Linked DNA regions of Struthio camelus. The protein of the gene in region 2 purifies or fractionates together with the protein of the main gene of each other region. This does not show direct contact. Links are inferred from orthologs where the notes say so. Each region holds a gene or a part of one and is shown on either strand. Other genes may lie near its edges.

The links.
Region 1: the proteins of CHD3 (region 2) and MTA3 purify together in Homo sapiens (affinity purification with mass spectrometry; 4 studies listed by BioGRID and IntAct, with this or other methods). This does not show direct contact. The link is inferred for Struthio camelus from reciprocal best matches to the Homo sapiens genes CHD3 and MTA3.
Region 3: the proteins of CHD3 (region 2) and BCL11B purify together in Homo sapiens (affinity purification with mass spectrometry; 3 studies listed by BioGRID and IntAct, with this or other methods). This does not show direct contact. The link is inferred for Struthio camelus from reciprocal best matches to the Homo sapiens genes CHD3 and BCL11B.
Region 4: the proteins of CHD3 (region 2) and CDK2AP1 purify together in Homo sapiens (affinity purification with mass spectrometry; 6 studies listed by BioGRID and IntAct, with this or other methods). This does not show direct contact. The link is inferred for Struthio camelus from reciprocal best matches to the Homo sapiens genes CHD3 and CDK2AP1.

The regions. Positions count from the first base shown.
Region 1 is NC_090944.1:111,823,882-111,831,490, reverse strand, and holds the start of MTA3 (metastasis-associated protein MTA3), read left to right. Parts: upstream 1-4,603; 5' UTR 4,604-4,846; coding exon 4,847-4,958; intron 4,959-5,621; coding exon 5,622-5,689; intron 5,690-7,562; coding exon 7,563-7,609. UniProt on the Homo sapiens protein: Acts as a component of the histone deacetylase NuRD complex which participates in the remodeling of chromatin.
Region 2 is NW_027182697.1:108,038-115,955, reverse strand, and holds the start of CHD3 (chromodomain-helicase-DNA-binding protein 3), read left to right. Parts: upstream 1-4,915; 5' UTR 4,916-5,052; intron 5,053-5,199; exon of another isoform or gene 5,200-5,298; intron 5,299-5,375; exon of another isoform or gene 5,376-5,497; intron 5,498-5,651; 5' UTR 5,652-5,658; coding exon 5,659-5,887; intron 5,888-6,609; exon of another isoform or gene 6,610-7,918. Other genes in the region: CYB5D1 (cytochrome b5 domain-containing protein 1), read left to right, coding at 1-157.
Region 3 is NC_090946.1:69,453,025-69,459,930, forward strand, and holds the start of BCL11B (B-cell lymphoma/leukemia 11B), read right to left. Parts: upstream 3,014-6,906; 5' UTR 1,964-3,013; coding exon 1,906-1,963; intron 1-1,905. UniProt on the Homo sapiens protein: Key regulator of both differentiation and survival of T-lymphocytes during thymocyte development in mammals.
Region 4 is NC_090958.1:16,837,165-16,844,736, forward strand, and holds the start of CDK2AP1 (cyclin-dependent kinase 2-associated protein 1), read left to right. Parts: upstream 1-4,556; 5' UTR 4,557-4,883; coding exon 4,884-4,950; intron 4,951-7,572. UniProt on the Homo sapiens protein: Inhibitor of cyclin-dependent kinase CDK2. Also acts as a component of the histone deacetylase NuRD complex which participates in the remodeling of chromatin.

The DNA.
Region 1 (7,609 bases), on a different chromosome or scaffold from region 2:
TTTGTAAACCCTCTGTTTAATGTTCAGACCCTATGCTTTCAGACTGCTCATGCTAGAAATAAACTCTAGGTTTAAGTACTTGGATTGAATTAGGCCGTGTGAATGTGGCCCAAGGATGGGAAAGTCTAAACACCTTTTCCTTTCTGTTGCATCAGCATGGAGATGAGTCTCCATAAAAGCACTGTAAGGAACTGAGCCAGTTTTATATGGTACAAGTAATTTTCCTTCAATGCTTTTGGTGATTTTAATAAGATGTTTATACCTAAAAGATCCAAAATTATTCCAGCTACTTGTGATAAGCACTTCTAAGCATAGCTGATATGTTGTAGGATGTTGTAGGCATGTAGTTCAACTGGTTTGACAGAAAGCAAGTTACAGTGCCAAAAATCATTATTTTTAAAATCTGCGGTATTTTACCTTGAAGTTGGTCATTCTTAAAACACACATCTCTGGATGTATTTTACTGTATATCTCTGAATTGTCAGTTTGATCCTCAAGGCAGTAACTTAGTAAGAGGTTTGTCTGGCACTGATTTCTTTTATAAGGTTGGTGGGATTTTTTGTTTTTAAGATTCAGGCTTTTGTTTCCTATAGAAGATACTGGACTGGACCTCTCTGGATTTAAGTTCTTTGGCCACAAAACCGGATGCTGCATGACAGCTGCAAGGAAAGTTCTCTTATTTTGCCACTTTAAAATGCTTAACTTTTCTAGGGTAAGGTTGTTAACAGCTTTTTGAAGCCTTCATTTTGGTCTCTACAATAGTAGAAAAAGAGCATTGGTAGTGAGGAGGTTTTGTATCTGGTACAAGACTTCTTCAGAACTTGTCCAAAAATCTCTGAACTCCTGTGAACGTTGTTCTGCCAATGGCTGACAAGTTTTTAGTCTCTGAAAAGCTAGATGGAATTAAAAATGAAAATTTAGGGCTAAAATTTGACCCCTTACTATTCCCCTAGTCCAACCAATCCCTCATGTAAGCAGGAAGCCTTTAAGAGCTGCCTATGAAGAAAAGTGAAACATTTTGTATCAGCCTTAATGAAAAATCTGTATATCGCCACTGCATTTTTAAATGAGTAAGAATACAGTATTGCACCAGTCAGCTTAATGGGTATTTAGTATGTAAAAGCATCTGAAGAAGATAAACTGAAAAAGTCAAAAAAAGAGGGTGAGGTCCGGACAAGTCAATGGACATCATAGTGGTAACTTGACAAAACGTTCCCCGGTAGCCCTCCTCTCAGCTCCATCTTCTTCAGTTCTGATTTAGCTCATTGTGGGGCTAGCTGGTGAACTTGGATCAGGGAATTGGTCTAGAAAAAAAAAGAGGTATAGGGATTATTTTTAAACTTAATCTAGATTATTTTTGACCTAGATCACTTTTCTGATGTGTTTCAATTTGTGACTCCATAAATGGGTAGGAAGATTTTTTTCAACTGAAGGGCAGCACAGACTTCAGACGGAATTATGGGCTGCTCAGGATGGCACAACAAAAAAAGCTTTTACCAAATGAGATTCTTTGATAATCCGTTTCTCTAGCAGGAGTATGCTCTTTTGCATTATTGACTTCAGTTGCCACAGAAATGTGGTTTCTTTCAGATAACACAAGTAATTTTATTGTATATAGCTATAAAGACCATTTATCAGATTAAGAGAAAGCTCTTATCAGAATTTTACTCAACAGTGATCTGCTTGGAAGAAGAGGTAACAAGTTTTGCATTATATTTTATTTAGAAATATGAAGGTGTTTACACAACTTCGACTTTTACCATTCCCTGTACTGAGATAGCAGAGAAGAAAAATTCTAGCCAGTCTTTTCTATTCGTTACACCGGACTAAGATGTACTGACATTCCTGCAACTCAGTCCCCAGCCACAGCCAGCTGTGCCCACTGCTTTCCTCAGCTTGCAGTACAGTCCCTTTAAAGTATGCAAAGACACAGTAAGAGCAGCATGACACCATCCCATATCAGTCTGTGCCTATACAAGCTGCATTACAGTGAATAACCAGGCTCAGTGATTCAGTACTGAGGTACATAAACTACCTGAGTTATTAGGCAAGCTACGCATGCCTTTCTTTAGGCAACTGTAAGTAAAGCTTTGTCGTGCTATTTTTAGGGCGTGGAGCTGCAGAAGCAGCCTGCAATCGTGGGGTTTCCTGGGCTGTTCTCTCTCAAGTTCTTGAAAGGCAAATTCTTTCTCTTCAGTAGCAATCTTCCTTTTACACAGGCCATGTCTTCAGACCACGCAGGGACCGTGCAGTCTTGTTTCTACTGAAATCCACTCCTTGCTAGATGAGGGTACACTGGTAGACCGAAAGTGTGGGCAACTCCTCTAGTGTTGCAGTGCAGACTGACGCTGAGAAAAAGAGCTTGGAGGCATTGTGTTTAATTGACAATGACTGCAACGAGCCAACTGTTTGAATTAACTGTTCTCTTGCCTTCAAAGTTTAATTTCTGTTTTATTTACCAAACAATAAACCACAAGAGTAAAAATAACACACTGTTTAACTTCTGGCTATTTTTGTTTGGTCCTGCCAAGGTAGTGTTATTGTGCTTCTAGAAATAACCAGTGCCATCGCATAGAGCTGCTACGTCTCAAGGAGTTTCTGCAGACCTTTTCAGATCCCACAGGTTTGCTTGTCAGGAGACAAGACAGAGGAAGATTTCAGATTTTGCTGCAGTTTTGTGAAGAAGTACAAGTCACTGAGGGCTTTGTATACAAACTTCACATGTTTTAGTCATGCTAAAAGTCAGCAGCTTGTTTGACGCAAAGTAGTAACCCATGAAATTAAAAGCACGCTACTTAAAGTAGAAGCAAACTTACCCTCATAGTCACAGATTCACTCAAAAAGGGAAAGGGAAGAGAGCGTATGGTCATCGGAAACACCAGTGAAGCTCATCCTCTTAAAAATCAGCATGTTTCTCCCTTAATAACACTACGTTTTCCTTCAGCTCAGGGCGAAGTGAAATGTTAGCTGGCAAACGCTCAAGATAACACGCACTAAAATCCTGAACGTGAAGCAAGTGATACATCATCACCCTCCTTGCAAGAAAACGATAAAGAACATTTCTCTTCAAAGGAAGCACTCTGAAGCAGGACCGAGCTGTTTATAAATCGCATGCATACATTGTTTGCGACACTGGGAACTTCACATAAACATGGCAAGACAAGCTTTGTGCTACATAAATATTGATGTTCCTGGAGCATCCCTCTAATCAGGTGATTTGTAAGCAATTCCTTCAGCACCGACTGATGCTCAGACTAGCCGCTGCCTCTGCCTTTGCCCTGGGGCAGACGCCTTCCCGTTTATTGGGGAAGATGGGGGTAACCGCAGCCTTGTGCTCTGATCAGTGGGGCGCTAGCTTTTGAAGGGGATGTGGGGCAGAAAGGTCGCCAGATCAATGCCAACCAGAGCAGTGAACACACGTGTCAGACACTTTCTCGGGACCACTGCAAGCAGTTTCCCGGGCTGGGGAAGGGGGGAGAGCGCGTTTGCCCGGAAGGAACAAAGACTCAACTAGGGGGGAGGCAGAGCCTGCAAACACAAGAAACAGGACTAATAATAACGATACTATCCGCCGGGATCCTACAGGCAACGTGGGGCTCCTCACGCGGCGGATCTGCCAGCCGGCGGGACCAGGCTGCGGGCGCCTACAAGATGTCGCGCATCGGGGACCGCGGCGAGGCTGCGACCGCCCCAAGGTAAGTCACCTTGCGGCGGGGCCGGGGGTCGGGTCGGGCTGGGGGCGCCCCCCGAGCCCCAGCGACGCCGAGCCGAGCCGGGCCGGCCCTTGAGCCCTCCCCCGGCCGGGGCCGGTGTGCGCGGGGGAGGGGGCGCAGCGGCGGGGGCGGTTGTTTAACCCCTTCGCCGCCGGGCGGCTCCGGAAATGGCCGAAGCGGCGGCGGCGGCGGCCCCGTGAGGCGGGCGGCGCCGCGGCCTGTGCCCGCGGGCGGGGAGGCAGGCAGGGAGGGAAGGAAGGAGGGGTGGCGGCGCGGGGTGGAGGGGCAGCCGCAGCCGCAGCAGCCGCTCCCGCCTTGCCCAGCCCGGCCTGGCAGAGGCGGCAGGAGGAGGAGGAGGGCGCGGAGCGCAGACATGGCGGCCAACATGTACCGAGTAGGAGGTATGTGGGGCCGGGGCCGCGCCCGCCCGCCCGTCGCCGGGGCCCGCGCCCGGCGCCGCGGTGCGGAGCGGGACCGGGGCGCGGCGGGGGGCCCCAAGCGGGCCGGGGCCGTGCGCGGCGCGGCGCGCTGAGCAGAGCCGCCCCCTTCCCCTTCGCTTCCCTTCCCCCGCCATGGCCAGGGCCCCGAGCGGGGCAGCCGGGCCCGCGGCGGGCTGGAGGGGGAGGGCGCAGGTTCCTCCCCCGGCAGCCCTGCGCGCCGGGTGGGAGGCCGGCCCCCACCGCCGCGGAGGAGCCGGGCAGCGCCGCCCTCCGCGGGGAAGGGGGGGAGCGGCGCCGCCGCCAGCTGCCTTCCCCCCGCCCGCGCTGCGGAGCCGCCCGGGCACGGCCTCCCCCGGGCCGCGGCGGTGGGGGCGCAGGGCGGCCCGGGCCCCGGCCGGGGGGAGGGGAGGGGAGGGGGTCTGAGGCGGCTCCCGGCTCGGCCGCCGCCGCGGCCTGGCGGGCCGGTGCGGCGCTGCCCTCGGCGGGGCCTGCCGGCCTCTGCTGGAGTGAACGGCCGCTGCGCCGCCGGGCGGGCTGCTCCCGCCCGCTTCCCCCCGCCTTGGGCCCCGGAGAGTGCGTTGGTCCCGGGCTGCGCCGCGGAGAGAAAGGGGGGCGCTCGGATGGGGGAAAAAAACCACAGGACGCGGCCTCCGCCGGTCATCACTTCCCCCCCGCCGCCGCCGCGGAGCGAACATGGCTGCGGCGCCGGCCGCGGCGCTCAGGTGGTGCGCCGGGGTGCGCTTCGCGCTGCTCGGCGTTAAACGCGTCTCGTCTCCTCCTCTTTGCTGCCAAACGGTGCTCGGAGGTGAGAGGGGAGATGCAAAGGAAAAGGGGCGGCAGCAGTTTGAGTCCCTTCCTGCCGCTCTTTCAGGGTATGCCGATACATCTGCAAATCGCCCGTCTGGACGCTCCCTCGTTGGGACGTGGGGAGTGTGATCCCCGCCGCCTTTACTCGTGGAAGTAATCCTCCCTTGAGCAGCGCTGTTGAAGCCTGGGCAGGGTTTACTGCTTGCATCAGCAGTTCTCAGCCTTTTCGTTGTGAGCTTAGTAGGCAACGGTGAACAGTCCCGTTGGCTTTCTTCAGAGCTGAATGAGCTACCCCAAGTTGTTCCGCTGTAGCGTGGTGTCACAGCACTGCAAAGGGTTTTAAATGCTGTTATGTCCCTGCCCAGATTCTTTGAAAATAAAGAAACAATGCTTTGCAAGATGTGTGGTGCAAGTCAAACATCAAATCGAAAGTTTTACTAGCAGCATTTGAGAGGTACTTTTGACCCTGTAAAAATAAGTTTTGAGAAAATCTCGGTGTAGGAATGCTTCAGAGCACTATCTGCCATCGAGTGAGATGCCTCAGCTTTTTATCAGCTTCTAGGTTTACGAAAAACCTTGCCCTAACAAAAATGATGTTCTTCTAGGTACGTTATTTTGAAATAATTCAGTATCCTTCTCTTTTTTTTTTTTTTAATTGTAGATTATGTATATTTTGAAAATTCTTCCAGCAATCCATATCTCATCAGGCGAATTGAAGAACTTAACAAGGTACACACGTATTTAAGATCACTGCTTAACCTTTGATAACAGTCTGTGCACTTTTCGAAAGTTGAGAACTGTTTCCATCTCATAAAGTTTCCATCAGTAGAATTTTTGAAAGTTTTGTACGTTCTTAAGATTTGTTATGTGCCTTCTGTATGTTCAGTTATTACATTGTTGCTATGTGATACACTGTAGTCCTACCTTGTTATCTAAGGAAACACCTAGTTAATCATTCTGGATTGTCAGCAGTAAAAAATCCCTGGGCCAAATAAACAATCCTATGAATGCTCAGGAGAGTAATGAGTTTAATTCGACATAGGGTGATGACAGTGTGAATCCATCTGGAATGACAGTGATCATGTAACATGCTTGCTTTTATATGTGTGTGTATGTGTATATGTGTGTGTGTATATATATAATATATGTAAAAAAACTAGTAGATATCAGTGAGAATTTGCAGCGGTCAAACAATAGAATACAAAGCTTCTGTTGCTGTTTATTGCACTTATTGAATGAATTGCACTGTGAATGAAGGGCAGGGTCTTGAATAGAAATAGTCTACATTCTCTGTCTTTATTCTGAATGTATTTTTGTTGACTGAGTTGGTACTTTTTAGAGTGTCACTTTGAGGAAAACATGATTATTTCCTAGTTCTTGTGCTGCTAAGAATGTTTTTGAAAAAAATAAAGCAGCATTTTTTTTTTTTACTATTCCATGTAGTGATATTACAATTTACTAATAAATTATATCAAAAGTAAACAGTCAAAATACCTATTATATTGTGAAGGATAATGATGTTTTTGTGGTTAGAAAATAAATTCAAACTTGATGACTGTGAAAAGTTTTCTTCTTGTCAATGGAATACAAGACTACTCTAGCCATGATCCACATTGTTAGCGCTATCCAATGCAGCATCCATTCATCTACTGTTTGTATGTGGCAAATCAGTTTGACTTTTATTGGAGGAGAATATGTTTTATTTACAGTAATTAAAGTGATTCCAATTATGTTCTAACTGTAATGTTTGTTATCTTCAAACTGCATTGCTGTAGTTTAATCTTGCTTGTGGATGGTTTGAGCAGAGCCATATATTGATTTTTTTTTAAGAGAGGTTTCCAGGGTATAGTCCAGATACCTTCATTGTCAGTTATGTGCTATTCATGTGTTAAAGGCATTGAGCAAATAAGGAGATGTTATGCAAATACATAATGAAATGCTTCAAACATAAGATGCTTTCTTTTTTATTAAGAAACTTATTTAAAACATGATGCTTTATGATGGTACATCTTGAATTGGAAATATAATAAATAACTTGAGGTATATAGCTAACTTTCTAATATTTATAACAAGGAAGTGTGCAATTTTTAAAATATTAGTAGATTTTTTGTCATTTTATTATTTTTAAAAAGTAAATCTGTAGTAAGTCGTGCAAACAGAGCTGTGCAGTAACTTCCATTTTATGAGCTGATATGAATTTTCAAATAAATGCTGTTTTAAATATTTCGAAAATTGGCATGGCAGTTTGAAATGTGCATTTCTGTCTAAAACTGGGTTACAAATAAACGTTCACAAGCACCTCATGTGTCTTAAGTAGTTTTACGTTAGCATCGTATTGATGCTTACATTTGTAAGTAACAGAATAATATATAAATACTTTCTTATGAATAAGTAATTTTAATCAATGCCATTATGTGAGCTGAAATTGATGTTGGCATTTACCAAGAAGCTCCTATTTAGCTATTTAGAATTCTGTTGGTTTCAGCATGACCAATCACATTGAATACGAACATGAGGAGGAAAAAAAGAGTAGAGAACACGTAATTCTTACTACCCAGCTGGACGAAGATGGATTCTGACTTAATTTGTCTTTCTTTTCTAGACTGCAAATGGAAATGTGGAAGCAAAAGTGGTGTGTTTTTACAGGCG
Region 2 (7,918 bases):
TCGTTGCGGGGTCCCGCGCCGGCGCGGCAGCAGCCCTGACTCATCATCGGTCGAGCAGAGCCGGTTTCCCTCGGGCCCCGGGTCGAGGCCGTCCCCGGCGTTCGGCCGCGGCTTCCCAGCGGAGAGAGGCGCTCGGAGACGGCCGCCGCGCGGGTGACGCCGGCTGGCGTGACAGTCGGCGGATCGCCGTCGTGGCGGGGTTCGGGAAACGCCGCTGGAGAGCCGGTGGTGGGGCCGGATCCCCCACTCCCGTGCGGAGTTGGGAGGCGCGTGCTGAAAAAAGCCGCCCGGCCCCCAGGCGCGTCCGGGGAGCGCGCGGCCCCCGCCTGCCACTGCGCTGGCCCTCGGGAGCAAAGAGCATCCCCTGGCTCCCGCGGCAGCAGCTGACGTGGAAAAGCTCCTCGCGGCGGGTATTTTTAGCAGCTTCCAGCATGATTTAGCAGCTGGAGGCGAGGAGGGGAGCCAGCGCGGCGCACTCGCCAGCTCCGCATGGGCCCCGGCGTGGGAAAGACCAGGGCTCAGCAGTGCAGATCTGCCAGCAGCGGGGGGCGGGGGGAAGGGAATAATCACAGCGCGTGCTCGTTATCGCCAGGATTATGATAAGAGTTGGGCACAGAGACTTTATTTTCTCATCCTTGTTTTTGGGAGGAGAGAGGGGGGAAGAACAACCTGGCGGGAGGGCAGGTCTGGCACCACCGGAGGGAATTTTTTTTGCGGCGTCCCTTCGATTTGGCTGGACTGGTAGCGTTGGGCGCAGGGGGGAGGCAGCTGCAGAAGAAAGGGGAAACCGGAGCTTTCCTCAGGATTCCCTCCGTGACAAATATCCAGGTGGTTTGATTTGTTTTCGGTGCCCCCAGCCAAGGTGAGGCGGGTGCCACCGCTCTGCTGGAGCTCAAACACGTGCCAAAAAATTGCTGGGGGGCGGGGGGGACTGAATTTCAGTTCAAAGAAAAATCCCTCCTGGAAAACATCCAGCCTTGACCTAAAACCTCTTGTTCTCCGCGTTTCCCTGCAGTTGTGTCCGGCCGGAGCAGCAGCAAGGAGCCAGCCGAGCGCCCCGGGGCCAGCGCAGGTGAGCGGCCGCCTGGCGCGTCGCCCCCGAGCCGGGCGCCGGCCACGTCCCGCTGGCCCCTCCGCGGCCTTTCATCTCCCGGCGGGAGCTGCCAGCCGCTGGCGCGGCCCCGCGTCACGTGGGCAGGGATTTCTCCTCGCCGCTGACCCGAGGCCGCGTTACAGTAACCCAGAGGTGGAGCGAAGCCGGACGCCGCTCGCCCGCGCCGCCGAGTCTTGCCGCCGCGACCGCTCTCGGCATCCCGAGGCCTCCGTGCGTCTCTGCATGTCCTTGTTCCGCTGTCCGTCTGTCTCGCTGCGTCTCCTTCCGTGTGTGTGTCCGTTTTTCTTCCCCCCCCCCCCCCCCTTGGACCCTGCGCAGGCAGCTGGCGCGTGGCTCTAATCAAAGCCTCGTTTGCTCCGCTCCCCCCCCCCCCGAAGAGGAGGTTTGGGCTCTCTTTGGAGGTTGTCGCTTTTATCTGCTACCTTCAGGGCTAAGTCCTCGGCGGGTGCGAATCAGCCCGGCGCTGCCAATTGGCGCCGGATTCCGGCTCCGGCTGTCCAGCGAGAGGAACGGGGTGCGGATTACGCGCTGCCAGGGCTCGGGGCTGCGCGCGCCGCTCCAGCCGGCTCTGCCACGGAGACGCGCCAGGCTCGGTCGCGCCGCCAACGCTCCCCTCTCTAGAAATGAAAATCCCCTGGAAAAGGCTGATCCGCGGCCCCCGCGAGAGCAGGAATCCCCTCCGCGTGGAATTACTCATCTCGGTAAACGCCACGTTCCCGTGCCCCGAGGCCGGGGGAGTTGCTCGTCGCCCGCGACGCTGCCCGGAGGCCTCGGCCGCGATGTCGGCTCCGTCTGGCCGCGTTCGGCTCCGTCTGGCCGCGATGCCGTGGGAAACGAGGGTTTATTAGCTAAATCGATGAGGCAGCTGGGAAAGAAGCGCCGGAGCTGGAGCGTCTCGGCCGCGGGGCAGCCGGGCTGGAAAGCGAGGCGGGAAGGCCCGGTCCCCTCGGAGCTGCCACGTTCCCCGTTCTGGGCTTCGCTCTGCTGGTCCCCTCCAGTCACTGGCCTGTTTTTAGGGGCTGCGCCGCCACCCAAAAGCGTTATTAGCGGAGGAAAACGAAGCCAAACCGAAGCGATGGAGGAAGTAGGCATGGAAGAGGCAGCGGCAGCTTCCGCAGGAGGTTTTCCCACAACGGCGACCGTTTCCCCAAGCCGGTCGGCGCGTAAAAGCCTCTGTGACCCCTCTCGCCGGGTGAAACGCGGTGATAAGCGCTGCGACTTCCCTATTAGCGTCATGCCGCGTGTTGCTCCGGTCGCGCCCCTGGCCGTCGCTGAGCTGCGAAGAAACATCAAAGACGGGTTAGAGACAGAAAAAAGGGGGGGAGAAAAAAAGAAAAGCCTGCCCTGGCCGTGCCCAAGGGAACAGAGACCAAGCCGCAAGCAGCCAGGGTCAAGTTTAAGGCAAGTTTCTCCCGGCGGGGAACGTGCGCTCCGGCCGTCAAAGCCTCGCAAATCGTTAAAAACGCTACCGGGGAACCTGCCCGCGACAAAATTAGCGGCGGCAGGTTGCTCCGCGGCCCGTTAGCTGCCAGGAGGGGAGCGGAGAGAGAAGGTGCCTGGACAGTGGTGTCAAAGGGGGCAGCCGCGAAAGGACCGAACTGGCAAAAAACAAAGAAAAAGAAAAAAAACCCACCTTGTGGAAGTGAGAAATAAACATGAACTGGGTAGGAAAAAAAAAAACAAAAAAAGGTTGGGGGGGGGGCATCAACATATTCTTCTTGTCTCCAAATTCCTCCCAAACCGCTGGCCGCCCGCGCCAGGAGGGAGCCGTTTCGACACGAATTCGTGGTGCCGGTGCTCCCGGGGGGGAGCTTGGGTTAAATATAAAAGGCGCCGCGGGAAGCAGGCGGCTGGCGAGCGGCGCGGCCCCGTGGGCGCCGAGCACGGGCGGTCGGGGAGCGAGATTCGCTCTGCGCAACGATTTCTTTCCTCCCCACCCAAAAATACCTATTTTTTGCCAGGTTTGTAGGGCAAAAAAGCAGCTGAACAAGCCCAAAAATGAATATCGAAGCCGTGCCTGGTGTTAAATTCTTGGTGAGCAGCGGGAGTTTGGCCTGGCTGTGGTGCAGTTTGGGGGGATTTATGGAGTTTTTCCTTTTTTTGGGGGGGACACCAGCCCCGCCTACCGCGCTCTGGCTTCGTGCAAACCACGAGGGGTTTGGGATCCCGTCCGGAAAAGGCTTTTTCTCCCAAAAGCGGAGGGGGTCGGTGTCCGAGGGCCACGGGAACAGGTCTGCGGGCATCGCCGGAGTCCAGAGCAGGCCTGATTGCAAAAGGCCTCGAAATCAGGGTTGGGAAGAAATTAATAATCGTTATTTGCAATTTGTCGGTGGAGGGAGGGGGGGAAAAAAACCCCACAGGTGAGGTGAAAAGCTCCTCTGACCTGAGCGGGGAACGTGTTTGATGAATTATTTGGGGGAAAAAAGAGAGATGGAGAAGAAGGGAAAAATAAAAGCAGGGTCCTGGGCTGCCGTCCAGCGGCCGCCGGCTCGTCGGCTTTGGGCCTCGAGGTGAGTTTGCGTTTCCCCCATCGCACCTTTTTTTAAGTGTAACGTTCAACAGATGAAAGCGTTTCTTAGGAAGCAGCGGGAACGAATCCCGAGGGCCCGGCACGCGGCGGTTCGAAAACCAGGACGATCTGGGGAGAGCGAGGCTGCCTTCTGGGGCCGAAAAGATGCTCCGGGGGCAAAAATGCTGCAAAAATGCCCTGGTGGTGTCATCCCGCCGCCCCCGAAAAGCCCATCGGGGCGCCCCGAAGGGCTCCTCCCCGGGCCCCCTTGCTTCGGGGGGGATTTGGGGGCGTTTGGGGGTCATTGCTCCGTGCGCAGACAAAGCGGGAGACATCGGGGGCCCCGGGGTGAAAAATCCCCTTTTCCCTGCTCACCTCCGAAAGCAGCACGGCGGAGCGGTGAAAACATCGCGTTTTTCACCCCAATTTTTACGGGGGAAGCTACGGGGAGAAAAAGAGAAAGGGGTGAGTGTTTCTCGCCAGCAAAGCGGGGCAATCGCGGCGGTGGGGGGGGCGGGGGGGGTTTCTCTCCCTTTTAATTATTTCTCGGTGTCGGTTTTACCCGGGGAGGCGCGTTGGCTTTGAACGCCGGTGGAGGAAAACACACAGTTAAATCATTCCTAACGATGCACTTAAACGAATTTGGACCATGCGCTTAAATGATTTTTCAAGGCTGTTTCTTTTCTTTCCCTTTTTTTTTTTTTTTTTTTTTTGTTCTTCCTTGCCCTACAGCCTAAAGAAAGAAAGAGTAGGGAGGGAAAATAAAAAAACACACACACACACACACACACCACTCCCTTCTGAAGTATTTAAAAGTAGGGAAGGGAGGGGGAAAAAAAAGCCCCCCCCTTGTTTTTTTTTTTCTCCCTTTTTTTTTTTTTTCCGCCTGTACTAGTAAAGCAAGGAAAGCGGGCGGAAAAAAAAATCTCGTGGTGTTACTAGTATGGAACTAGTTAACCTTTAACAATTTATGCTGATGTCATACTGAGCATGAGTACTGATTAATCCAGCCTTTTCTCTCTCCCCCCCCCCCGCAAAAAATATTTTTATTGAGGGAGGTGGGGGGGGAAGTATAAGGGGAGGGAGGAAAAAAAAAAAAGAAATAATTTAGAGCAGCCATCTTTGTTTTATGCAGAAATCTTTCTCTTTCAGTTCCCCCCAGCGCCAGGAATATACAAATATTGTTCATCTTATGCACTGATCTGAGATCTTCTGAGAGATTAAAAAAAAAAAAAAAGAGAGAGAGAGAGGGGCCAGCAAGCCAAAAATCAGAATTATTTTATATCGCCAGCTATATATATTCCGAGCAGCAGCAGCAACAACAAAAAAAAAAAGGGGGGGGGGAATCTAGGCTGCTTTTTTTTTTCTTGCCTGATTTTTGTTGAGGCTTTTTTTTTAATCTTTTTTTTTTTTTAACCTCAAGGAAGAGGTGTGTGTGTGGGAGTAGGGGGTGACTTAAAAAAAAAAAAATAAGCCAGCCATTTTGGTTTTTTTTCTTTCTTTTTTTTTTTTAATAAAGGGTGGGGGGGATTTGGGGTTTTTTTTTTTTCGGTAACCTCCCGGGGTTGAGGGAAGGGGGGGGGGGGTCGGTTTTAAAAATAATTTAAGGGCGGCCATTTTTGTTCCTTGCTCTTGTGGAAAATATTATTCCGAGCTGCCCCCTCAGAATTTCAATGTATTTTTAACCTCTCTTCTCTCTCTTTCTTCCCCCCCCCCCAACTTTCTCTCTTTTTTTTTTTTTTTTGGCAGGGGAGGAAAGGAAGGGGGGGGAAGTCGGCGGGGGAAGAAAAGTTCGGGGAGTTTTCTCGCTGTTTTGGGGGGGTTCATGGCTGCATTCGCGGGACTTTTTCCTGCCGTTTTCTCCTCAGGCTGAGGTGCTGCGCGGGGGGGGGGGGAGGATTTTTTTTGGTGTGTGGCGGAGGGGGGCCGCCCCCCCTTCTCTTTTCTCTCTCTCTCTCTCCCTCTCTCTCCTCTCTCACTCACTCCCTCTCTCTCTCTCTCCCTCCCTGCCCCCCCCCCCACCCCCAGCACCACCATGGCTTCCCCTCTGAGGGAGGACGAGGAAGAGGAGGAGGAGATGGTGGTGTCTGAGGTGGAGGGGGACGAAGAAGACGAGGAGGAAGAGGAGGAGGAGGAAGACGGAGCCGGGGACAACAGCCCCGGCGACATATTCCTGTCAGCCGTGCAGGCGGCGGTGCCGCTGGCGCCCGCGCCCGCAGCATCAGCTCCCGCCGCGGCCGCTGAGGCGACTGAGGCGCCTCCAGGTAAACAACCTCCCCCCCCCCACCACCCCCAACCCCGGCCCCGCTTCCCGCCGCCGCCGCGCGCGCGCCCCCCCCCCTCCCCGCTAACGGCTTTGAAGGGGGGGGGGGCGCCGTGTTTGTAAACAACCGCCAACGGCTTTCGAACGTTGAGGGGCCGAACGTTCCACCCCCCCCTCCCTCCCCGCGCTGCCGCCGAACGCGCGCGCGCTGCCCAACGGCTCCGGACCGTTGCGGGGCGGCGGGGGGGGGGGGGGCGGTTTCTAGGCCCCCCCCCCCAACCGCCGCCCTCCCGGCCGCCGAACGGGCGCGCGCGCGCGCTGCCCAACGGCTCCGGACTGTTTGGTTGTGTGTGGGGGGGGGGGAAGCGGTTTCTAGGCCCCCCCCCTTCCACACACACACACAGAGGCGCCGCGCTGCTTTGCCCGGTTTAACGCGCCCGCCCGCGCCGAGCTCTTCCCCCCCGCGGCCGGGTGAGTGGATGTGTGTAAAGGGGAGGTGGGGGGGGGGGCATCGGCCTGGCCTTCCTCCCTCCCCCCCCACCGAGCTCTTCCTCTTCCTCCTCAACGGCTCCGTTCCGTTTGTGGAGGGGGAGGGGGCGTTTCTAAGCCTCTCCCCGGTTTAACGCGCCCGCCCGCGTGGAGGGGAGCGAGCGCCGGCCCTCCCCGCCCAACCGTTGTATGGGGGGGGGGGGACACCGTCGCGGCCTTCCTCCCCCCACCTACCGCGTTCTTCTTCCTCCTCCTCCTCAGCGGCTCCGCGTCGTCACGGGGGGGGGGGCGGTTTCGCTGAGGGCCTTCCCCCCCCCCCAACTCTCCGTTAACGGCTGTGGAAGGGGGGGGGCGCCGTCCGGGCGCCGCCTCCCTTCCCCCCCCCCGCCGCCGCCGTTAGTCCCTGGGGTGGGGGAGGGGCGGCTGTGCGAAACGGTGCCCCTCCCCCACCAGGGGGCCGCCTGCCCCATGGACCCCCCCCCACCCCGCCGCCGTGGGGTGGGGGGCGCCTGAGGGGAGGGAGGGCGCTCGGTGCCCCCGTGGAGTGAGTGGGGTGGGGGGGCGCCTGAGGGGCTGTAGGGTGCTCGATAGCCCGTGTTGTGGGGCGATGGGTGCCTGAGGGGCTGTAGGGTGCTCGATAGCCCGTGTTGTGGGGCGATGGGTGCCTGAGGGGCTGTAGGGTGCTCGATACCCCCTGGTGTGGGGCGATGGGTGCCTGAGGGGCTGTAGGGTGCTCGATAGCCCGTGTTGTGGGGCGATGGGTGCCTGAGGGGCTGGAGGGTGCTCGATACCCCCTGGTGTGGGGCGATGGGTGCCTGAGGGGCTGTAGGGTGCTCGATAGCCCGTGTTGTGGGGCGATGGGCGCCTGAGGGGCTGTAGGGTGCTCGATAGCCCGTGTTGTGGGGCGATGGGTGCCTGAGGGGCTGTAGGGTGCTCGATAGCCCGTGTTGTGGGGTGATGTGCGCCTGAGGGGCTGTAGGGTGCTCGATAGCCCGTGTTGTGGGGCGATGGGTGCCTGAGGGGCTGTAGGGTGCTCGATAGCCCGTGTTGTGGGGCGATGGGCGCCTGAGGGGCTGTAGGGTGCTCGATAGCCCGTGTTGTGGGGCGATGGGCGCCTGAGGGGCTGTAGGGTGCTCGATACCCCATGGTGTGGGGTGAGAGGTGCTGGGAGAGTGTCTGAAGGGGTCTAGGGTGCTCGGCGCGCGGTGATGTGGGATGGGGGGGTGCTGGGAGGGCCCTGAGGGGCTCTAGAGTGCTCGATACCCCCTGGTGTGGGGCGGTGGGTGCCGGGCGGGTGCCTGAGGGGAGCCAGGGTTCTCAATGTCCTGTTGTGTGGGGCAGTGGGTGTCAGGAGAGCATCCAATGGGCTCCAGGGTGCTCAGCACCCTGTGCTCCAGGGCGATGGGTGTCGGGGTGGCGCCTGAGGGGCTCTAGGGTGCGCAGCACCCTGTGGCATGCAGTGATGGGTGCTTGACGTGCTCTAGGGTGCTCGGCACCCCATGGCGTGGGGCGATGGGCAGCGGGAGGGCGCTTGATGGGCCCT
Region 3 (6,906 bases), on a different chromosome or scaffold from region 2:
GTGATGCAAATCTGGCCCCAAAATAGCAATGAATTAAAAACACCCCCCTCTCCGAAAGAGCTGAATACCAGATGCATCTTCATTTGTGTTCCACCAGCTGATGGGCGGGGGGGGGGGAGGAGGAGGAACGGGTTAAAAAATAAAGGAGCACACCAAAAAAAAAAAAAAAAGGAAAGACAGAGAGAAAGAAATTGAAATTGCGGGAGCCAAAACGTCCCCCCCCCCACACACCCTCCCCTACGAAAAGAAAAAAAAAACTCACAGGCGGTGCAAATATATATATATATATATATATATATATATATATAGATTCCCAAGGAAATCTTACAAACAGAAATTTATCACCGGTAACAAAGAAAGAGAGGAGCTCGCAAGCACCAAATGCTCCTAGCAGATGGCTCCTATTCTTGGCTTTCAGGGGAGGGGAGAGAAGCCGGGGGAATATTTTATTTATTTATTTAAATTCTTTAAAATCTGAACATAAATATTCGGATCCGCCGCGGCTGAGGCTCAGCCCCGGGCCGGCTCCGTGCATGCCGCCGCCGCCGCCGCCCCCCCCCCCCCCCCCCGCAGCACAGCAACTTGCGGACTCCGCCGGGGGGGCCCGGCCGGCTTCCCGGCGAGGAGCGGGGCCATCCCGGCCCCCGCCCACCCCCGACCTCTCCGTGGCGGGCTGCGCCCCCCCCCACGCCCCGGTCCGAGGCGAAGGATTTTTTGGAGGGTAACGCGCCCCCCGCCCCGTGCCCCGGTGGCGGCGGGGCGCGCTGGGGCCCCGCGCCCGGAGGCGGCTCCCCGCGGGCGCAGCCGGGAGCGGCGGAGCGGGGTGCCCGGCGCGGGGACCTGCCTCCGGCTCCGCGGCAGGCGCTCGCCCCTCTCCCGAGGTTTTGGGGGTGGGGAGCGGGGAGGAGGGTGGGATGCTGGAGCTGAAGGGGGGGGTCCTCCTTCCCTCCCTCCGCTTTTCTTTTTCTTTTTTTTTTTTGGGGGGGGGTGTTGTTTTCATTTGACAATGGGAGCGTCGGCAAAGTGCAGCCTCCGCTCCTGCCCCAGCACCGGAGCTGGCGCCGCTGCCCGGCCCGCGTTTCGTGCCCTGCAGCCCCGTCCGCCGCCTCGGCTCTCCCCGCGCCCTCCCTCCGCCGACAGACACCCCCCCCCAGCCCCTCCGCAGCCCCTGGCCCCGTCCGACCTCATCTTCCCCCCACGCCGCCTTGGAGGAGAGTCACCCCCCGGCGATGCACCTGGGTCGGGCAGGGCTGCAGCCTGCCTGCCCCGCGCCCCGCGCCGGGGGCTCGGCCCCGCCGCGGCCACCCCGGCCCGCTCTGCCCCGGCCGACCCACAGCCTCCATGTGCTTCCCACCGACTTCGCCCGGCCGCTGTGCTGCCCACCTCCACCCGCCCCCCCCACCCCGCCCCGGCGCCTGTCACGCCGCGGCAACGCGCTCGGCCAACTTTTCCCACCGCTGCGCGCTGCCCCCGGAGCGGGGAGCGGGGCCGAGGGCGAGCAGCGGGGCAGCGCGGCCGGTTCGGCACGGCACGGCACGGCCCGGCCTGGCCCGGCCCGGCCCGGCCCGGCCCGGCGCGCCCCGCTCCGCCGCCCCGCGCACGCCCCGCTCCCCCGGGGCAGCCCCGCTCTCGCTCCGCCGGCCGCGGCCCGCCGCCCGCCTGCCCGCCTCACCTCCGCGCCGCTGCAAATTCACGGCAAACTTCGGGCTTCTCCCCCCCATCCACCCCCAGCCCATCCCCCCGAGCCGCACACCCCCCTCCCCTCTTTAATTCCCTGCTCCTCTCCCTCTCTCTGAAGTCATTTACCAGCTTTGGTTTCTCCTGGACTCCCCCCCCCCCGCTTCCTCCCCTTCTCTAATTTTGCTCCTTGATTTCGGCTCGGTTTGGTTCCAAGTTCAAACTTACGTGTGATAATCTCTCTTTGTGACAAGTGCTGCGGGTTTCCCTGCTTGCGACGGGACATTGCCCTGGCATTTACACTGGCATCGCCTGGAGAGCTGCACTGGTTTGGGGAGATGTGTTGGGGGTGCCGATCGTCCTCTTTTTTTTTCTTTCTTCTTTTTCTTCTTTATCGACTTCTTCTTCTTTCAAAAATAAAAGAAAAGGGAAAAAAAACCTCCTTTTTGTTGCTGCTGTGGTGCACTAGCTGGGATCCCCTCTCAATTAAAAATCATCATCATCATCATCATCATCAGGAAAAAGCTTTGTCGCTCTGCTTTTTCTCTTTCAAACACTCTGTCTTTTCTCCACTGCTGCTGCCACTTGGACTTCCAAATCTCTTCTTGAACTTAGGAGGATATGCACCGCCAGTGACACTTTTCTGTTTCCCTCTTTCCAGAGTGCTTGGCAAATTGGCAAGTGCGCTTTTCCACCAGGAGGGTAAAAATAAAAATAAAAAATATCAAAAAGAAGCAGGAATATCAAAAAAAGTACTAGAACTGGGATTGCCCACACACACAAAAATTGCCAAAAAATTGTTTTTCAGAGATTGACCCTTTCTGGGTAGAGATATATATATATATTTTTTTTTTTTTTTGAAAAGGGGTAGCCAAAACTGTGTCTCCTCTTTCCCAGTTCAAGTGGCACTGCTTTGCCCTGGTGCTTTTGGATTGCCAGTGCTCCTGCACCACTTTGCACTCTTCCCCCCTCGCCTGGCACTGGGACTGGAAGGAAGGAAGCCCCCAGTGCAGCTGGGCTGGTGCTGGCTATTACTATTATATATTGCAATGTGAAGATGGCGGAGTCCTGGTTCTCTGGGAGCGCTCTGTCTCTCTATGGCTGGGGCTGCCTCTGTACAATGGGATAAAATTCAAGTTCAAGTGCGGACGTGACGTTTAATCTGCACTAGAGACAAAAAGACCCAGAGAGTAGGAGCACTGGGGGCGACTAGCGGTGGCTTTTTAACATTGTACCCTGCAAGAGAACAAGAAACACCACTCGCACTCACACACACACGCACACACACATGCACACGCGCGCGCGCGCACACACACACACACACACACAGACACAGACACACACACACACACACAAACTAAGGCATATGCATGGATCGGGAGCAGCTCCGGGCTTTGTGCAGTGCTGTTTCTCGGGTACGCTGAATGCTAAAAGAAAAGAGGAGGGGGGACAAATCCGTATCCTCCCGCACAGCAAAACTTCCCCCGAGCCCAGCCTCAGCCCCGGCGCCGGCCGCGGCGGCAGCGGCTCCCGGGCCGGCGGCGCTGCGCGGCCGCGCTCCGAGCCGCGCTGCTGCCCCGGCCGGGCGCCGCGGCCGGCAGCCCAGGAGGGCGCCGGCGGGAGGCTGCGGAGGGCTGCTCGCCGCTGCTGCTCTCTCCCCGCTGCTCATGCCGCCTCCCGCTCTCCGCCGTCCTAGCTCGGCTCTGGCTCTTGCTCCTCCGCGGTCCGTGTCCGGCATGAGATCCCGAGAGGTCTCGGGCCGCTCTTTCCTTTCGACTCCGCCGCAGCTCCTCGGTTGCGAGCACCTTCCCCGTGCGTTTCTTTCAAACAGTTTTACAACAACACAAATATCTGTGTGGGCTGGGGAGAGATTTTTTTTTTTCCTCCTCTCTCCCTAATGTAAGTGTGATCGTTCTGGGACACGCACGCACACACGCTCCCGAGCCGCACACGCACACACACTCCTCTTCGACCTTCTTCTGCCGCCCCCCCCACCTTAAAATGCCTGGCTGTGAGGATTTTTCGTGGAGGAATTAGTCTCAGACACGAATCGAGAGACACTGAGTTCCCAGGGACCGCATCTCAACGCACTTTTCCTCCAATTTCACACGCAGGTAAATGCCCACAAGTGCGTGCGCTTCTAACTTGGGAGCTTCTTGGAAACCAACTTTTTCCTCCTCTACCTCCGCTGTCCTAGCCCCATCTCCTTTGATTTTTTTCCCTCTCTCTCCAGGCAAGCAAATAGTTTCGTGCAAAGTGCTTTTCAGCACCAGCTCTGGACAGGTCGAGGGAAATGGGGAGGGGGAGTGTTGGGGGTTTGAAGGCGGATGGGAGAGAAACCCAGGAAACCCAGCCTCCACCCGGAGCACGCTCGGAGAGTCGCTCTGCATTCGTGTCATTTACTTTCTACGTTAAATGAATATTTTTTGTATTAAATCGCATGTGAGCCTTAGGGGACCAGAATTCATCTCGGTGCCCTTAATCAGCTTTGAGTAGAATTTGGCTAAACAGCAACACTCTCGCCTCCTCCAGCAAATCTGCCTTTGCCTATACACACGCACACACACATACACTGCTCACATCTCGCATTTCGGCTCTGGCAGCCCCCAGATCCCTGGAGCCGGCTCCGACCCGCACTCCCCGGGCGGGCCAGACCCCCATCTCCCGAGGCCTGGCGGTGGGGCTCGCCGGCGGGCGCAGGGCCAGCTTTGCGATGCCCTCCCCTGCCCCGGCTCAGCCATCAGCCTCCATTAACACACAAGCAAACATGTAAAAGACATTTAACGGCGCTTAAGCTTGTTTAGATTCTTCGCCGCGTTTGTTTGTTTTGTTTTACAGGGTCCTACAAAGAAAAACTAGCGTGGTGACAGCAGCGGCTTTCCGCCGCCGGGAAGGCACCTGGGGCTGTCGCCGGCCCCGTTCAGCCCCGGGCAGGGCCATCCCGGCCCCTGGCCGCCGACAGCGGGCTGGGACCCGGCCCGTCCCCTCGGGGCGCCTCGGCCCAGGCCGCCGCCGCGGGGGGGCCCGCAGCTGGCGGGGGGCGGGGGGCAGCGGCTGCCCCTGGGGTGAGCTGGGGTGCGGGGGGGGAGGGGCGGGGGGGTCATTTTCTGTCCTTGGGGGTGCAAAGTCCGGCTCGCAGCGGCTCCGGCCGTTTCTCAGGGAGTTGCAGGAAGCTGCGCCCCTTCGGAGCGAGGCTTATCGGGAAGTTACTGGGCATCATCTGTTGATTAACCAGTGTCTTCCAGCGGGCACTGGGAGCCGGAGATAAGGGCGATCAATGATTGACCCGGCGGGCAGCGCGGAGCGGCGCGGAGCCCTCTCCCTCCCGCCCGCGTCGGCAGGCTGCGGGCAGGGCTGCTGGGGGTGAGCTCCCAGCCTGCCTCCTCTTCCTCCTCCTCCGAAAATACATCCCAATAGGGAAGGGGAAAAAAAAAATTCCAAAGTGATTTCTCAGTCTCCTCTTTCCTCCCCTGTCTGGCACTTGTGATCATTAGCACTGAAAGCTGTTAATGTCTTGTCTCACAGCTCCCCCTTTAGTCTCTCTGCTCTCCCTGTCTCGCGTTCAAAGCCAGATCAATAGCAGGCTCTTTCTAACCTTGACCTATCCCTCGACCCGCCTCCATCTGCAGCTGGCCCCACCGTTTCGTTGTCCCCCTCCCCCGCCGTTGTTTGCCCCATCAGCCAAACAAGAGGGGCCGGGGGCTGCGGCCGGGCGGCGGGTGCTGCCCCCCGGCATCGCTCCGCTTTGTCGGGGGGCCCCTCGCCTCGGCGGCGCCGGCGGTGCCGAGCCCCCTCCTGCCCCGCGCCCCTCACCGCAGCCCGGCGCGGGCCTGGTGCCGCCGCGTCCCCGCCGCCGCCGTGGGCTGAGCGCGCCGCCAAGCCCCACGCAGCGCCCTTCACACCGCGGCGGCTGCTCCCCGCTGCAAAAGAGGCGAAACCCGCAAGAAGAGGGCAAGCTTTTCACCCGCTGTAAAGGTGCTTTAGTGCCTCGTTTTAAATTAGGCAAAAATGCGCTTGCACGCACAAAATGTCTTGTACTAAGGTAGTCATCTTTCCTGTCTTCATAATATGCCCGGGATTTGAAGAGTTCTCATCTAGAAACACCATCCTTATCATAGGGGAAAACAAGCTAATATGATGTTAAATCTTCCATTTTATCCTGTATACAACAAGGCATGCAGAGTCGAGAACTCTCAGCACACCCATGTTTAGCTTCTGGGTTTCTTTCTTTTCTTTTTTGAAATCATGCGATGTCTTTTGCTGAGATTTGGCACAGATATAGATACGTAAATAAGCATGGCTCCAGTGTGAAGAGGAAGTCCCGATATCCTCACAGAGGACAAGCCTGAGGTGTCACTTGGACTTATTTTGAGTGCATTTCCACTTTCTCCCCATTTGCTCAAATAACTTTTCAGTCGAAGAGAAATTGAAGCTGCATATTCTGTGTGATGTGATTTTAGTTTCTTCCCAGTCTTCACTTGAGAAAGCTCATACTAACTTAGAAGTAAATTGTTTCTGATACAGATCTAGGACTTGTAGGGAGGAAAAGAGAGAGAAGGAAGGAAGGAAGCAAGCAAGCAAGCAAGCAAGGTTTGAGACAATCTTGATATAAATGAGGCTGCGATTCTCATTCTCTTTGAATCTTTAAATGTTGTTGTTTCGGAAAAATAAGGATAAACAGAGGGCATTGATCTGATCGGCTTAGTTAGCCGCTCCACCTTGTGAAAAGATACAGAAACACAGAATCTAACCAGATCATATTTACATACATATTAATAAAGCTCCCGAGGTGGCAGTTCAGCCTTCACATACAGTGCAAGGATCTCTGTGAGTTCTCATTTTAGACCCATAAAAAAAAAGATAAAAAAAGGTCTTTTGGGTTTCCCTGAATATTTTTGTGCAATGGTTTTATATCATTTCTGAAAATTACATAGTTAAGTGGCATCAAATTTCTGGGTGATATAATAACTCAAAATGTGTAGTTTTTTTGTATCAAATCACTTTGCAGCCATAAACAGAGCTGCAGAACCTCAATCAGAGGAATGATTTGGTGAGGATTTTTTTTTTCATTTATGGCAAACAGTAAAATTGTTCTTGTTATCTATTCAAATATATATAAATTGCAACATTTATTGACTTGATTTTCTTTTCCACGACACTGGTGTATTGCAGGGTGCAGTGAAAGGAAGGTTTAAGAGGGTAATGTATTATCCCCTGCCCATTTCCCAA
Region 4 (7,572 bases), on a different chromosome or scaffold from region 2:
CACCGAACAGGTTGAGGAGCTCGCCCACGCGGGGCCGGGATGAAAGCGCGGCTGCGAGCCTCCTCGGAGAACCGCCGGCTCCCGGCGCATCACCCGCCCCGGGCGCCCGCGCTGGGGCTGGGCCGCCCTCCTTGGCACCGCCGGGCGGGACGCGGCAGCGGGAGGACGACGGGAGCCCAGCCCCGGCGGCGAGCGGGGAGAGGCCTGCCCGGAAAACCGAAGGGATGGGCGCCTCGGGAGCGAGGGTTCGGGGAGGCCTGGGAGGAGGCTCAGTAGCTTTATCCGCCTCTTCTCAACACGCAGAACGAGGCCGCTACCTGTCCGGGCTGGTTTTCGTTGGCATCTGGCTGGTTTTGATCCCGGTGCTCGTTTGGCAAAGCGCAAAGAGGAAAAACTCTCCGGAGGGAGTTTCCAGACCTGGGCTTTGGTGGCCGAGGGCTTGGAAACTTCCCGCTTGCCGCCTGCGGTCCTCCAGCGAGACCTCCCGCCGGGGCAGGCGAGAGCGGCTGCCGCTGCCGCAGGGCTGAAGCGAGGGCGGCGTTCAGCTCTCTGCCTTGACCGGTCCCAGTCTCCTCACTCACCTTTAAAGATGCTGGGTTTTTTCTTCCCCTTCCCGTACAGGCCACCGCCGAGGCAGCACGTCCCGCGCCAAGGCGGACGGAGCCGGGAAGGAGCCAGCGGGCAGCACCGGCGCGGCGACGCCGAGCAGCCGCCGGCCCGGCGGGGCCCTTCCCTGGCAGGAGCACAACAGGCTCTGGAGGAGGAGGAGGAGGAGGAGGAAGAAAACAAGGCTGGAGGGGGGGGGTGAAAGGCGCTCCCCATAATAACACAGCATCTGGCCTGGGAGGAACCCAGCGAAATTGGGGAGTGGGACCGGGCTAGGCAAAATTTATCTGGAAGAGGTTAAGGGGAAAGCCTGCCTGGAGCAGCCAGGAGTTGTTACACCCGAAAGAAGTTATACGCTGAACTGCAGCAACGCTCCTCGAGCGGGCCGGCTGCGAGGAGAGGTTTCCCCCAGCCCCGGCGCAGGGCGGCTGCTGCGGGGTTGCTGCCGGGGGTGCTCCCCGGGGCTCCTTCCCGCTGCAGGGAGCGATCCAGGCCTTCCCGGCGTATTTGGAGGGCTGGGGAGAAAAGGCGCCAGGGAGCCATGAGGACGCAGCGTGTCTGCTGGCGGTTGGGGGTTTCTGGCGCGTTCTGGGGCAGTAAGCAGCAAGCGTCACCCGGAAAGCGGATGGAGCAGCAGCGGGACACCGGGGCTGCCAGCTTTCCCTCTGGAAGGAGAACGGCAGCGCCGCGGGAAGCCCCAGCGACCGGATGAGCTCCGCAGCCTCGCCGGGCTGCGGGGAGCAGGCGCGGAGCTACCGTCTGTGTCTTGACAGAGGCCAAACCTGCCCCCTGCTCAAGCCTTTAGGAGCTGCTTTTTCAGCCCGCGAGGGTCAGAGCCTCCTGGCTTCGTTTTGGACGATCGTTTCAGTTTTGGCACGAGAGGGCGGCTCAGGGACTTGCGGATTGAGTTGATACCCAGAAACTTGCAGGTACCTCTACTGTGTTTATGATTCTGCCTCCCGGGAAACTTGGGAATAAATATTTTAATACAAACTGATTTAAACGTAAACTCCTTCCCGCGAAAGGGACGTACTGCCGGTCTCCCTCCTCTCGCTGCTGCACGTGTCTCTGCGACAGGCGGAGGACGGCCAGGACAGCCACAAGTCACTTCATTTATTAAACTTGTCAACAGTTAATTACATTGAAATTAACACACAAACGTAACGTTTTGCACAGGTCAAAGCCATGCCAGGGGAAGCCGGTGTCTTGCTGTCCCGTCTTTCATGCTTTTCATCGTTAATTTAATCCCAGACGAGAAGGAAGACGACGAGTTTGCACTCCCCGAGTGCAGGTCTCCAAGCGTTTTGGGGCATCAGAGGTGAGAAAGTGAAACCAGCAGCGGGAACGTGGGGAATGCAAAGAAAAACAAGGGGGGAAAGGGGGGAGGCTGCAGGTCCGACACGCCGGAGAGGCAGCAGCACCTGCAAAATACAGGAGGTTTTGTGGCCGTGCCCGGAGGCACCTGTGGATGCCGGAGAGAGACAGGCTCCTCTCGCTGCCTTTCCTCCCTCGCTGAAAACCGTAACGCGCACGCATTTATTTCCAAGTTGCTTCTCACTGGAGAGGAGGCTTGGAAACGGGACAGCTGTGGTAAAATGGCTCTGCCGCAGGACGCCGGGGTCGCTCGTGACCGCGGGCTGCTATGACCATCAGTAGATGGGGTTGTGCCGTCAGGCGGCAGCGCGGAGCAGCAGCGCTGCCGGACCGCGGTTTCGCCCCGCCGCAGGGCTTGGGCGCTCGGGGCAGCACGCGCCGGGCAGCCCCTCCGAGGCAGCTCCGGGCCACGGTCGCCTTGCTAAACCGTCAGCCCCGGGCCCAAGCGCCCCGGGGGTTTTACCGCTGTGGCCACAGCCGGGTCGAAACAACCGAAGCGGATGCACGGAGCGCCCGACGGAGAGGGACAGCTCGCAGGTACCTCCTGCCCGAGGCAACTTCTGCAAAGACAGTGAGACGCAGCTAGTCAAGCCCGCTGGAGCTTGCTTCAGACGCCAAAAAGCCAGGTTTTACCCGGGTCTGGTGTCATGCATTGCCGCTGACGTAAAAATCTGGGTATTGCGGAGTTCCCGCTTTCAGCACAAATAATTTGGCCCTGCAAACTTCCCTGCCGCGTGCTAAGTCAGTTTGCTCCGGAGCGGGAAGCGTCTGCAGCAGCTCGTGCAGAAGAAGGGATGGCCTTACAGGATCGGTCCCTTAAGCCGCCCACCTCGAGATACCACTGAAGGAATACTGCGTGTTTTTAAGCCGTCATTATAAAACCGAAGCGAAACACAGGGGATCTTGTTCTCCGCAGCGCTGCTCTGAGTGCAGTTTTGTAGGGTTGGTGCAAAGCCGTGAAAAACACGGCCAGCTCTGAACCCTCCCATTTCGCACTGTCTCGGTGTTACTGTAAACAACGGCGGAGCAATGGAAAATCCCAGCGCGGCGTGCCCCCGCGCCTGCAGGACTGCGCCGGCCGGCCGGCGGCCGCACAAAGGCAGCCAGTTACACGTCCCACCCAAAAGTTAGCGGGGGGCACGGTTCGGTATTTGCAGAGCGCCAGGGTTTAGCAGTGCGATCTTTCAGGACGCTCACGAGAATTACGCCGGTAAAGCTTCGTGCACTGGTGTGAAAATACCGTTATGGAGCAGGTGACTCCACGCCGGAGGCGCCGGGGCGTCCGCGCCGGCAGGCTGCAGCGCCGCTCGGTTGCGCCAAGGGCGGTGTACGCCGTCCGGGCTTCACCACGAGCGCTGGGAACGGAGATAACGTGCAAAACCGTAACGCGGTCGCGTGTTTTACCCGGTACGGGGCATGGTTTCTAGACACTTCTTTGATGCGGTGTGCAGGTGTTAGGGTCGGAGGCTCGAAAGCCGGCTCGCTCTTCCCGCTGCGTCTCGGCTCGGCGGAGGGAATCACCCAGCCGCTCCGCGACTCGCCTCCCCCCCGGCCGGTCTCTGCCGCAGAAACGCCGCCCGCGTCCCTTCACAAAGCAGCCCAACGCGGCGGATGCTGCAGGCCTGAATTAGCGCGGCCGCTTCCAGGGAGCAGGATGGAGCCGCCTGCGCTCGGGGTCGCAGGCGCCAGCTAACGGCGATACCGCACGGCACGGGCGTATAACAGCAACGCCTGTGACTGAAGTACCCCAAACTGCCCCGATTCCAGCGGGATTTCCTGGCGAAGCGCGGGCGGGCTGGGGGGGCTCGGGCCGCGCTGCCGGCCCGGAGCGGCTACGCCGGCGTAAATCCGGAGAAACGCGGCAATTGCAGAGGCGCATTTGGATTCGCGTAGGGGATGAGCGCACCCGAGCGTCCCACCCCGAAAGGATAAACTTCGGAGAGGCGGATAAAACCGAGAAATAATTTGTTTATTTGGGGGGGGGTGAAGAGAGGGGGTACATCCCACTGCTGTTCGCAAGCAGAAAACGGGTCAGTCATGGACTAGATTTGCATTTATTTGTTAAATCCCTCCATGGCTGCAATCTGCTATTAAACCTTCAGCCTTCCAGCGAGCCGAAAGAGTAGTTTTACTAATAATAATTAAAAAAAAAAAATTGTTTTTTTTCCTTCGCGGCACCAGAAAATTTCCACTGAAGATCTGAGGGAGCGGGGGGGGAGGGTACAATCAACAGGTATTTCCCATCCAAATTGGCGGCGAGGGGAATAAATCGGAGGTGAATAGGTAATTACGGGTTTTTTTTGGGGGGGGGGGGGAGGAAGGGGCGCCTCGGCGGCGCGGAGCCTCTTCGCCGCGGACAGGGGCGCCCGCCGCCGCCGGGCGATCCCATTTCCACGAGAAGTTGAGCCAAAACTTTGCGAAGTGAATTAACCTCTCCCCCCGCCTCAACCGACACCCATCTCCCCCCACCCCCCCTCGCCCCGCCACCACCTCACCGCCCGCCCCGCGCCGCCGCCTCCGTTCCCGCCTCGGCGCCCGCGCGGCCCCTCGCGCCGCGCCGTCCCTGAGGGGAGCTCGCGCCATTGTCTGTGAGGGGATGGTCGCGGCACCCCCCGCCGCCGCGGCACCCCCCGCCGCCGCCGCTCCCGCCGCCGCCTCCGCGCCCCCGCCGCCGCGCCGAGGGGCGCGGGGCGCCGCGCCGCCGCCGGCTGCCTCGTCTCCCCTAAAGTTTTTGGATCCGCGTCTCCTCATGATGTATGGATGATATATTGCATTGTGGGTGTCAATATAACTGACGGCCATATTTGCCGGTGCTGCTACTGCTGTAAACAACCCAAAGTGTCTGGGAGACGCCGAGACGCTTCGCTGGATTTCAGGACGTTTTTCTCCTCCTGCCGCTGGCCATGTCGCTGGGAATGTCTTACAAACCCAACTTGAACGCCCACCTCCCCGGGACTCCCCTCACCCCGGGTAAGTCCGCGGCGGCAACTGGGCGGCAAGTTTGGGAGGCGTGCGGCGGGGCTCCGCCGTGCCGCGCCGCGCCGCGCCGGCAGCCGGGGCCGGCCCCGCGCTCGAGTTTTTTGTCCAGCCCGCTATGGCGGGGCAGCGGCTCCGCGCCGGCTCCGCGCCGCCATTACCAGCGCCCGCCCGCCCGCCCGGCGGCGCCGCCGCCGCCGCCGCCAGCCCGCCTCGCCTCGCCTCGCCTGGCCGCGCCGCCCCTCCGCGGGGGCGCCGCGCCCGCCGGGCCGGCTCCGCACCGCCGCCGCTACCGCCGCCGCTCCGGGGCTCCGGCCGCCGGCTTTCCTCCATGCTCGGCTCCCCGGGGCGGCTGATTGATCTGGATCAGGAATATTCCGCCGGCGCCTCAGCGAGGACCGCTGCTGGCGGGACGCCGCAAGTGCCGCTCGCGCCGCTCCGCGCCGCGCCTCCCGCGCCCCGCCGGCCCCGCTCTCCTCAGGGGCAGCGGCGGCCGCCGGCCCAGGGGCGCCCCGGCCCCGGCCCCCCTCGCCGTGCCCCCGCGCCGTCTCTCCGACCCGCCCCGCTCGCCTGGAGCCTTTTCTTTCTTTTTTTGGGGGAGAGGGGGAGGCAGGAATCGCTCTTTATTTCTTCCCAAACCCCTCTTATTATTTTTTTTCTTCCTCATTGGATCTGTAGAGAAGTCCCAACTTTCCTCTCTAAAAAAGTTTTCCTTGATGGGATTAACTTTTTTTGTTTTGTTTTGCTTTTACCCCCCCCCCCCCTTGATTTATTTCATTTCCAGCGGTAACAGGCAGTGAGGGGTTGTGCTCAGGGTGAGGTGTTGGCTGTGAGAGTGGGTCTGGGTGTCGGGGTGCATATACATCGCGCGTATACATTGGTGAAGTCCAAACAAAGCCACAGCGGCGATTGCTCCGCTCTGGGGTATTTGGAGGGGAACTCACTAATCAGTGCACCCCGGCTAGTATTGAAACAGAACCAAAATGGAGAAGTTGGTTCTGACTTAAAAAGAAAGACAAGAAAAAAGAAACCATATTCCCGTCTCCCTTTCCCACAGCTCCAGCCTGCAGGGCTGGCACCGGCCGCTCTGCAGGCAGAAATACGACTGATGTTTTGAGAAGGGAAAGTTTTGCTGTTTGGTTCAGGAGGGAGAGGGAAATTTGCCTCGGGGATTTTACAGCACTGTTTGCGGTTGTGTTCCTGGGATATGGATAGACGAAGGGGATTAAGGAGATGCACCTCTATTCTCACTACCGGGAGAGCGGCGATTGCATTTTACTGTAAGGAATTGGCACCAGCCGGTGATGGAGCTGAGGTCCCTGCACCTCCAACTCCTACGTGCAGGGCAGCTTCGATCCTGCGGGGAGCTGAGCCTGGTGGGGCTGCGCGTGGGGAAACTTGGCGTGTGCAGGGAGCTCCCTGAGCCTAAGTGCCGCTTCCCAGGGGGGCCAGGAAGCAGGAGATGTGCTAGGATTTGTGACAAAAAAGCAGAAGTGTCACCCCCCCCCCCAAAAAAAAAAAAAGCCCCAATGCATGAAGCACCGCAGGGGAAATGTTTCTCCCATGAGAACCTGTGCCTTGCTTTCTGGAACAGCTGTAAAATTGCAGGGGAAACAAAGGTAGTATTTTGTAGTGGTGCGTGGCGGGGTGGGGATTAGGTGGTACTGGGGGGGGTCCAAGTGTGGCCACGCCGAGCGGGAAGACTGCAGGATCCCGGTCGAATGCCGCTCACAAAGCAGCCGAGGGGTGAACTTCTGCCTCCGGTCCTCCTGCTGCCGTGTCTCTGTGCTTTCTAATGCTCCGGCTGCGATCGGGGTTTTAGATTCTTTCATGCAGTTTTCATCTTTCCTTTATTATTATTATTATTATTTTTTTAACATTTTGTTTTTCTTCCCCTTAATGGCAAGACAGCAGCAGTTTGCTGTCATGCTGGGACTGTCTAACTTGTGCTCTCTCCTGAGTTTAGATCACCCTCAACACCCCTAGGATCTTTTCAATGAAAAACCGTCCTCCTCAGAATCCAAAATGGGCTCTCTCTTCCCTCCCTGTCTTCTGCCATTATCCTCACGCACCAGCTCTTCCTCTAGCTAGTGGTATTGCCAGCACCGTGGCCTAAGGCCAAGGGAGTTAGACAAAGCAGTCCTTGCAGTTGCACATATCGCATTCAGAGTGATATGACTGCAAATGGCCCCCTCCTCGCTGGAGCTTAATTCTGAGTTGAAGGAGGTTGCTTCTCTATTGTGTCTAAATTAAATGCCACTGGCCAAGAGGAAAAATCCGAGGTTTGCTTCCAAACCTGGGGTGAAGGAACCCCACCCCCACCCCCCCGTCCTGCAGAGGAGAGGAAAACAGGAAATCTGTCCTTTTTGGCCTGAGATCAGCCCTGCAGAAGCCTCTCTGTGTGAATGCTGAATATTTTGGTCTCAGCTGACAGAAGGGCTCTGGCCAGCTGTGGATCTCACAGGGATTTTCCTCTGGGAGATAATGCTGCTTCTCTGCACTGCAGGGCTTCTGGTGCAGGAGAATTTGGAAAGGCAGTGTGGCAGCTCCGCTCCTGAAGCAAGCTGTGTCCTTGCTGCAGAGCTAACTCCTTTCAAGTTTAGGCTGAGAGTGGCC